Mus musculus: one gene and its partner. The main gene of each other region encodes a partner of the protein of the gene in region 2 in a complex. Links are inferred from orthologs where the notes say so. Each region holds a gene or a part of one and is shown on either strand. Other genes may lie near its edges.

Region 1 (4,345 bases), on a different chromosome or scaffold from region 2:
AGCCCTGGCTGTCTGGGAACTCACTCTGTAGACTAGGCTGGCCTTGAACTCAGAAATCCACCTGCCTGCCAAGTACTGGGATTAAAGGCATGGGCCACCACACCCAGCTAACACAAAGTTTTAAAAGTTCTTTAAATTAAATTTTTTTTTCCTTAAGATTTTCATTATCTTCCCTGCATCTGGGTGTGTATGTGTATGGAGGCTTGCCACAGTGAATGCCTTGAGGCCAGAAGATAACCTTTGTAAACAGGTTGTCCTCCATCACTTGGGTCCTCAGGATTGAACTCCGTCTGGCAGGCTTGGCACCAAGCGTTTTTACCTGCTGGGAACTGAGTCTCTCCCCTCCCCCCAGTGGAAAATAACAAATACTTTCAGAATGAAGTTATAGCCACAGCATCTATCAGGAATTTCAACTGTAGGGAATGATTGATGACAAGGTTCAAACACTGGCTCTACAGATGCGGCAGATCATATAAGCACGTGGTCAGGTGGCCGATTAACTGCATATTCATGTTCTGTGTTCACCAGTGCATAAACAGATGGTGACCCAGAGCCGACTTCCTGGATGACTATGCTACGACTTGGACAGGGGTGGAACCTCGAGGCTTGTGCCTAGGGCAGGTGACACCCACAGCTCAGGGTTAGTGCCGAGCCACTCCCACTGCCAGCTCCTTCTCCTAGGGTGTCTTATGACCAGCTCTCCCAGGAATCCTCCCCGCCTGACACTGGCACTTCGCCTCTGACAGTTTCCGATAAAGAATCTCTGTGATCAGGGATATTCCGTTGACTAAATGAGTATGTGTGGTACTTGTTCATAAGTGTTCATGAATGTTTAAAATATGTATTCGTGAGTGGGAAGTGAGATTTGTTTAAATCAAATTTTAGGTGCAACAACTCCTATACTAGACCTCTAGGTGGTCACCAGTACTCGTTGCACACAGCGCTTGGAACAGGTTATCCCTCCATGCCGAGCTCCCGCCTTCTCACCCAGCCAAAAATTAATATTCATTTCTCCTTAAGCCCCAGACTTCCCCTTCCAGAGCCCTTTACAAGCGTTCCAAGCTATGAGCCATGACCTGCCTGTCATGCACAATCCTGAAACTCCATTCCAGTCACTAATTCCTAAAGTCTCCACTGTCACTCACAGACTTCCCAGCCACCTACGTCAGTCTCCATTCCCAGGAGCGCTCCTAGGTCTCCGCTTAGGCTCCGCCCTCTCACGTAATCGTAGCCTACTGAAGCTCTTACCAGGCCCGCCGGAAGCCCCGCCCCGGGAGGTTGCTAGGCTCCGGCAGCCGGAAGTCCCGCCTGTGGAGTAGTCGTCGCTGCCGCCGCCGCCTCCGTTGTTGTTGTGGTCGCTTCGCCGAAGTCCGCGGCTCGAAGAGCCGGCTCCGTCGCTTCCCGTCGCCATGAAGTGGATGTTTAAGGAGGACCACTCTCTGGGTAAGCGCGGTCGGCCTGCGGGGCCCCAGATCGCGGCCCCTCCCCCACTCCCGCCGCCCTGCCGGGCCCGCTGGGTCGCCAAGGCCCCGGCATCCTGGCGCCTCCCACGGACCCGTGTCGCCCTACGTGGATCTCGCTGGGAGTTCCTGAGGGGATCTGTGGCGAGGGACTCCGGGGCTAGGACTCGGGGCGTACGCACGCAGGCAGGTTGCGGGCGGAGAAGGGCGGACAGGAAGAAGGGGTTCCGGCAGCGGCGGCCCTGCTGTCCGGCAAGTGCGAATGTCAGCCTGGTTTTCTTCTTCCCCAGAACACAGATGCGTGGAATCCGCGAAGATCAGAGCGAAGTACCCCGACCGAGTTCCGGTGAGTGTGGACTCCCCGCCCCCTCACCCCGCTGTCACCCTTAGCGTCTAGGAGAGGTGTCGGGCGGGCGCGCTAGGCCGTGCAACAGTTGAGAACTTAAGGTCTCAAGGTGTAGCCCAGAGACCGAGGACAGCCTGGGGTTCCGCCGGCCCAAGCTTGGGGCTTAAGGGGCTGGTGCTGTCCAGGGGCACCAGTGCTGAATCTCCCGATCTAGGGCAGCAAGCTGCTTGCAGCCTCTCGGCTCCCTCACCAATTATGTAAGGAACCGTGTTCTAGGACAGGGCAACAGGTCACTGCCACTTTGGGGAATGATGGTGGAGGGAGACTGGCATTTGGGGTTGGATACGGTAGCATCCTTTCAAGGTAGTCATCTTTAACGCTGGACCTTTAACTTCGAGTTTCTCTTTACCCTGATTCTGCCATCCTTGTTTGACTAACAAATCTGAAATGCTCTCGTTTTGCCTCTAATCAATAAGTATGTTGCTTTATTTCTGCTTTCTGCCCTAGTTGGGGCGATCGTTTCTGATATCACTATTGATTTTTGAAGGACATAAAGTCTTACTATTGTAGTGCTTTGCTTGTAAACAGTCCCTTTGAGAAGCAGGAGGATAAATGTTAACTGTTCAGAGAGAAGCAACAGGCCAAATGAAAATGTCGGCTCTTGGGTGGCTGTAGTTGTATAGCTTTGCCCTTAGTTCATCCATTTCTTTCCAGTGTTGTTGGGGATTGGAATGCTCTAACAGGGTCTATCTATGGATCAAAAGATGACAGATGAAACCCTAGCCAGATCAATCTTTTCATCGGCCTAGATAAAATGTTAGAGAGCTACCCTTGCAGTGGGGTGGCACGTGCCTTCAGTCCCAACATTCAGGGGTCAGAGGCAGCTGATCTCAGAGTTTGGGGACAGCCTGGTCTACAGTTCCAGGACATCTGGGACTAACAGAGAGACCCTGTCTCTGGAAGAAGATAGAAAGCTTTGTAGCTGTGCTTCTCTTACAAACGCTGAGATCAGAAATGAGGAATATCAGTCAGCTCTGGGCCTCCAGAGCGGGGCTTCTTGAGCTGTGGGCATATTGATTTACTCATCTGTGCCGTTTCCCACACACTGCCTTGTCCACACTCTGCTCATCAGACTGGAGCAATCAAGCCCTGTGGGTAAGTGCTGGAGCTCGCTCTCCCTCGCCGTCCCTCTCACAGTGCTGGGAACCAGGTAGCAGCCTTTGTGGATTCCAGGCAAAAGTTGCTCTGTGGAGGACTGGCCTGAGCTTCTGACCCGTCTTTCCCAGGTGATCGTGGAAAAAGTCTCGGGCTCTCAGATTGTTGACATAGACAAGAGGAAGTACTTGGTCCCCTCGGACATCACTGTGGCTCAGTTCATGTGGATCATCAGGAAAAGGATCCAGCTTCCCTCCGAGAAGGCCATCTTCCTGTTTGTGGACAAGACAGTCCCACAGTCCAGGTAAGAAGTGTTTGCTAGCTGGGCCTGTGGCTTGGAAATCCATTCGCCGCTTATAAAACTCAAACCATAGGAGGTGTTCTTAGTACAACTTCTTCCTTTCCTTTTCCTTCCTTCCTTCCTTCTTTCCTTCCCTCCCTCCCTCCCTCCCTTCCTCTCTTTCCCTATCCCTCCCTCTTTCTCTCTTTTGGTTTTTCAAGATAGTTTATTTCCTCCTTTTTTTAATTAGATATTTTCTTTATTTACATTTCAAATGTTATCCGGAAAGTTCCTTATACCTCCCCCCATGCCCTGCTCCCCTACCCACCCACTCACACTTCTTGGCCCTGGCGTTCCCCTGTACTGAGGCATATAAAGTTTGCAAGACCAAGGGGCCTCTCTTTCCAATGATGGCCAACTAAGCCATCTTCTGCTACATATGCAGCTAGAGACACAAGCTCTGGGGGTACTGGTTAGTTCATTTTGTTGTTCCACCTATAGGGTTGCAGACCCCCTTCAGCTCCTTGGGTACTTTCTCTGGCTCCTCCATTGGGGCCCCTATGTTCCATCCTATAGATGACTGTGAGCAGCATCCACTTCTGTATTTGCTAGGCACTGGCATAGCCTCACTGAAGCTATATCAGGGTCCTTTCCGCAAAATCTTTCTGGCATATGCAATAGTGTCTGGGTTTGGTAACTGATTATGGGATGGATCACTGGGTGGGGTAGTCTCTGGATAGTCCATCCTTTTGTCTTAGCTCCAAACTTTGTCTCTAACTCCTTCCATGGGTGTTTTGTTACCTATCCCAAGGATGAATGAAGTATTCACACGTTGGTCTTGCCTCTTGATTTTTCTTGTTTTGCAAATTGTATCTTGGGTATTCTAAGTTTCTGGGCTAATATCCACTTATCAGTGAGTGCATATCAAGTGACTTTTGTGGGTTGTTTCTTTTATGTAGCCTTGGTTGTCCTTGAACTTTTAAACCAGGCTGACCTTGAACTCATCCTGCTGCCTCCCTGGAATTGAAGGCATGAGCTACCACACCCAACTTTTTTTTCCGAGACAGGGTTTCTCTGTGTAGCCCCAGCTGTCCTGGAACTCTG
Region 2 (4,649 bases):
CAAGGATCAGGGCATCGTAGTGGGTTGGGTGAGGGGTGACGGCAGGAGATGTGGCCGTGGGGCCCAGGGGAACGGTCCAGAGCACTACGTTGGGGCGCTCTGGAGCAGGATAAGGGGTGGGCCCAGTGGGTGCTGAGGCAGGCGCAGCACCTGGGTCTCCAGGATCCAACCCCAGCAGCATATCTAGCACAAGGCCTACATTGGTGGTGCCGGCCACCGCCAAGTCCAGTCGTGCGCTGCCCAGGCGCTCCAGACCAGCGCGCACCCACGACAGCGCCGCCTCCAGGCCACCGGTCTCGAAGGCCTCACGAACAGCTTCCAGCTCGGCTGCGCCCAACACCTCGAAGCCATCCTGGGCAGGAGGCAGGAGCCTGCAGGAGAGAGGGTGGGAGATCGGTCAAAGGCAACAGAGCTTTAAAAGTAGGAAAAGCTGGGCTGAACGAGCAATTACGGGAAAAAAAAAAATCTTTCTGAATCTCAAGAATTTAAGTAGGGAACTAATGCACATAGAAAGAAGGCACGGCCGGGCGTGGTGGCGCACGCCTTTAATCTCTGCAATCTCTGCACAAGTGGCAGAGGCAGGCAGATCTCTGAGTTCAAGGCCAGCCTGATCTACATAGCCAATTCCAGGACAGCTGGAAATACAGAGAAACACCCGTCTCAAAAAAAAAAAAAAAAAAAAAGAAAGAAAGAAAAAAAAAGAAAAAGGAAAAAAAGAAAGAAAGATAGAAAGAAAAAAAAAAAAACCAGGTGAGGCGGGACCATAAAGTTAAGAGAGTTCAGGGAAGAGCTTAAGTCCCCTAGAGGTCCCGCGGGTAAACTAACCTAAGGTCAGGTTTCCAACCGAAACTACGATGAGGACCCTATTTGGACTTCTCTTGATACAGATCAAGAGATCGGGGTCAGAGCTTTTCCAATGGTGTGCTGGTCAGGACACGTTTTCTATGGAGTGGGGCTTAGAGGAAGGCGAGGACATAATGGCAATTTCAGTATGGCCTATGGTGTCCCTGAGGGTGGATGTAAATAAGAGAGACCTCATCTAGTACTGGTGGGCCAGCGAGGTTAACTAAACAAATGAGAAGCAGCTCTCCAACTTATGCAGACCCTTCCTGAGTCGCATTTTGAGAACCATAAAATGAGACAGCTGGCAGGTGGGGAGGGGCTGGGTGGATTGGCGGGCAGTAGGCAGGGTAGAACTGAGAGGGAACTGGAAATGGAAGAACAGGGCGAGCAATCGGAAATAATGCTCTGTAAAGGTTTGGTGTTAACGAAAGGAAGGATGGGAGGGGAGTCACTTGAGAACCAAGCCAATGAGGAGGATGGGAGTGCTGGAGAGGGATCTCAAATGTTACGAGAGATGGGAGTCCAGCATCTTGTCTGACACAAGTATTTGCATATATATATATATATCTGGGCTTGTGATGCCAGAGAGCTTGCACGAAACAGGACCTTTGTGGTGGGCTTTCCAGTTGACCCTTGACGGTGCAGGCTTTAAACGACAGAAAAGTGATCCCTGCTTATGGCAGAGTCTCCATGATCTCAAACTCTGTGCTCATGGGTGTGGTGGGTGCTGTCCTACGCAAATAAGTAGGGTATGGACGAATGGGCAGCCAAGAAAAGCTTGCGTCTAACACTCTAGGAACAGGGCTCGAGAACTTTAAAGACCTCCGTAGCTGAGTTGGATCTAAGGCCACCCCATCCAGCCCGAACTGTCCCCTCACCTCTGCAGCGCCTCCGCCTGGGTCCGCAGCACCACCTGCAGGCGCTCTAGCTCCTCGCAGCGGTCACTGCTGCTGCAATCCGCCGGCGGCACAAAGAGAGGCGCAGCTCCTAACCCAGCACTGTTCAACAAGGCTGCAGTCTCATCCCGGGCTTTAGCTGCATTCTGGGAATCTCCAGGGCGCAGATTCCGGACAGCCAGCAGCGGGGTTCCTCTAGCCAGGGCGGCTCGCGCTGCCTCTCCCAGAGCTGGGGTCAAGGGCTCCTCGCTCCCCTCAGATCCTGGTAGCACCAATACCAGCAAGTTGGCCTCCGCCGCCCAGGGCCCGGGAGCTGCGGGTGGGCAACTCAGCTCACCCAGGAAGAGGCCCGGAGCCGCAGCTCTCAGGCTGGGGACTCCAGAGTCCTGCCGTCCATCGGGAATCTCTACCGTGTCCACATTCTTACCGCATAACGCGGCGATCAGGGCGGACTTTCCCGAGCCGGGAGGCCCCAGGAATAAGGCAGTCACGTCACCCTGAGGCAGAGGCATTGCTGGAAAGCAAGAGGCGGGGAAAGAAATTGGTCAGGGAGCACGTAAGACTTTTTGTTTGCTTCTTTTCTAAGACAGCGTCTCGCTGTGTAGCCCTGGCTGGCCTGAACTCATTACGTAGACCAGGCTGGCCTGACATTCAAGAGATCGATCCTCTCCCCTCTGTCTCCCAGAGTGCTGAGATTAAAGGCGTCGCACTCCCCCACACCAATCAACACCCTCTCCTAACTGATTCACTGTAGATCCAGGCTTCAGTCCTCCAGCCTGTCCTCTACTTCCATTCTCCAGTGTCACGCTGCAGGACCTAGAAACTCAACCCCCAGGGCCTATTCCTGGGAGAGCCAGGTATATGCCCATTCTCCACACGAATGCATTTCTCTATTTAAAAAAGAAGAAACAGAAGAAGGAAAACAAAAACCCTCAAAAACCTGACTGCCAAACTCGAGAATGGTCTTTCCCCTCCCCATTCCAAATCACCAACCGATCAGAGAGGTGACACGCCTGGAGAGCACAGAGGCCCAGCCCCTTAAGACGAGCTGACGGAGGCTGAAGGGGCAGGAGTGTCCGGATTTAGAAACATCCGGACTCCTTCAGGTGGCTCTATACTGACGTCATTCCTTCCAAGACCGGTGTGTCTTGGAGTGCCACTGCGGAGAGGAAGAATTTTTGGCAGCTCCTTCTTTCTAGCTAAGGCTGTTTGGGCAAAGGCACAATAAAACCCATGCGCGTGCGCAGAAAGTTTTGGGGCGGTGCCCCACCAAGACCAGCAACCAATACGCCTGCGCAGTACGTGCAGGGTTTGTACGGCAAAGGGGGACAGGAAGCGATGAGCCCACGCAGTAAGCTTAGCGTTGTACGGAGCACACAACCAACGTCATCATCACGCACCCCTGTACAGAAAAGGACCTCTCCACTTGCCCTTGCGAAGACTTGCCTGCCGTGACTATATTAGTGCCGGACTGCAACCTTGAACCTGACTCGGGGACAATGGTGGTGCAACAGATCACTGGAGTCTGGAGACTAGGAAAAACTATCCCGCTCTCGTCCGGTGGCAGAGCTGTGGCGACCAACTGTCAGGCGCAGCTAAGGGACAGTCTTCGGGGAGGAAAGCAAGAGGCGTCCGTGACCATCAAGAACTAAGAGCAGAAGGCAGTGCATGGGAGCAGCGTGATCCAGAAATGAACTAGTGAACGCGGGCGGCGGTGACTACGGTGAAACAGTAATCAATGTCAGAGAAGGATGTCTCCTGGGAGAAGGCGGGCTCAAGTGTGAGCACCACTGCTTGTGCGGGGGTTATGGTTGACACGTGAGAAACTAGGATGGGGCTGGTAAGAAAGACCAAGAGTTCCACCTTCGAGGGAATTCGGTTTCGTGAAGATGAGGACACAGGGGCTTGAAGACCGAGGTGTCACAAACCCGAGGAGTCTCCCATGTGAGACTGCTGAAGCTTTTCTAGTGAGAGTGTCATTAGAGTTCAGTGAGTGTCAAAAAATAGAGCGAGGCCCACTAAGGTTGGTGGCAGCCACGCCCCCCCCCTCTCTCTTTCATATCAGAACATCGCCCTGAAGACACTGTAGAGGGCAAGCGTCTCCCAAGGAATGGAGTCCAGACAGCCCAGGAGACGACCTCTTTGAGTACTGCCAGAAAGAGGGGTTGGGTGCAGGAGTGACAGACACTAAAGGGACCTCCATATCTCGACGCCCCGCCCTGCTACAGGTGGCCGCAGTGACTACCTGCCAGGAATGACCTCCTCTCATGATCAAAATTATTTCCCTTGATTTGGGCACACAAACAGAAGCAGGACGACATTTAGAGGAATAAAGGGCTGCCAGGCGAAGATTGGGTTGTGGGGTGTGACTGGCAATATCATTACCTGGAATGAGTCCCCAGGGTTCTTGTCCCACTTTCCCCCTAGACTTTCAATATGACTATGCTTCAGTTTCCCGTAGCAAACGTGTGCAACACGGGCTATGGTGGTAGCACACCTTTAATCCCCGAATTTAGGAGGTAGAGGCAGGCCGTTCACTGAGTTTGAAGCCAGCCTGCTCTATAGAGAAAGTTCCAGGACATCCAGGGCTACACAGACAAATCTTGTCTTAATAAACAAACCAAAACGGGCATCACAGCTCACTTCCATGGGGTAGTTATGGAATTAGCTGTCGAAAGGGGAAAACTTGACTTGAATGAAATTTAATTTAAATGATAACATCTACTTTATAACAGCTGTGACCCTGACTGAGTGTTCTCTGCACTGGGTGCATTCGATGCCAAGTATGGAGGAGTGACCTTGATTATCTCATTCGGCTCTAATGTCGGGCTGCGGTGTACCGCAGCGGTAGTATCAGTGTCTCACAGGCAGAGACCACAAGGAACACATCTGGCTTGGACAAGCTGGGAT

The links. The genes of interacting proteins can lie anywhere in the genome.
Region 1: the proteins of Irgq (region 2) and Gabarapl2 are in contact, whole or in part, in a crystal structure (PDB 8Q6Q), measured with the Homo sapiens proteins. The link is inferred for Mus musculus from reciprocal best matches to the Homo sapiens genes IRGQ and GABARAPL2. Residues at the interface, in NP_001007562.1 of Homo sapiens: Asp7, Thr9, Leu11, Pro47, Leu49, Phe57, Pro70, Trp71, Glu74, Pro181, Ala182, Gln183, Asp184, Gly185, Phe186, Glu187, Val188, Leu189; in NP_009216.1 of Homo sapiens: Ser10, Glu12, His13, Cys15, Val16, Glu17, Ala19, Lys20, Ile21, Ala23, Lys24, Tyr25, Arg28, Pro30, Lys46, Lys48, Tyr49, Leu50, Val51, Pro52, Phe60, Ile63, Arg67, Phe104.

Annotation. Positions count from the first base shown.
Region 1 is NC_000074.6:111,939,410-111,943,754, forward strand, and holds the start of Gabarapl2 (gamma-aminobutyric acid receptor-associated protein-like 2), read left to right. Parts: upstream 1-1,293; 5' UTR 1,294-1,409; coding exon 1,410-1,443; intron 1,444-1,750; coding exon 1,751-1,806; intron 1,807-3,092; coding exon 3,093-3,265; intron 3,266-4,345. UniProt on the Homo sapiens protein: Ubiquitin-like modifier involved in intra-Golgi traffic. Modulates intra-Golgi transport through coupling between NSF activity and SNAREs activation. It first stimulates the ATPase activity of NSF which in turn stimulates the association with GOSR1.
Region 2 is NC_000073.6:24,528,988-24,533,636, reverse strand, and holds the start of Irgq (immunity-related GTPase family Q protein), read right to left. Parts: upstream 2,990-4,649; 5' UTR 2,733-2,989; intron 2,254-2,732; 5' UTR 2,252-2,253; coding exon 1,722-2,251; intron 372-1,721; coding exon 1-371. UniProt on the Homo sapiens protein: Autophagy receptor that specifically promotes clearance of misfolded MHC class I molecules by targeting them to the lysosome for degradation.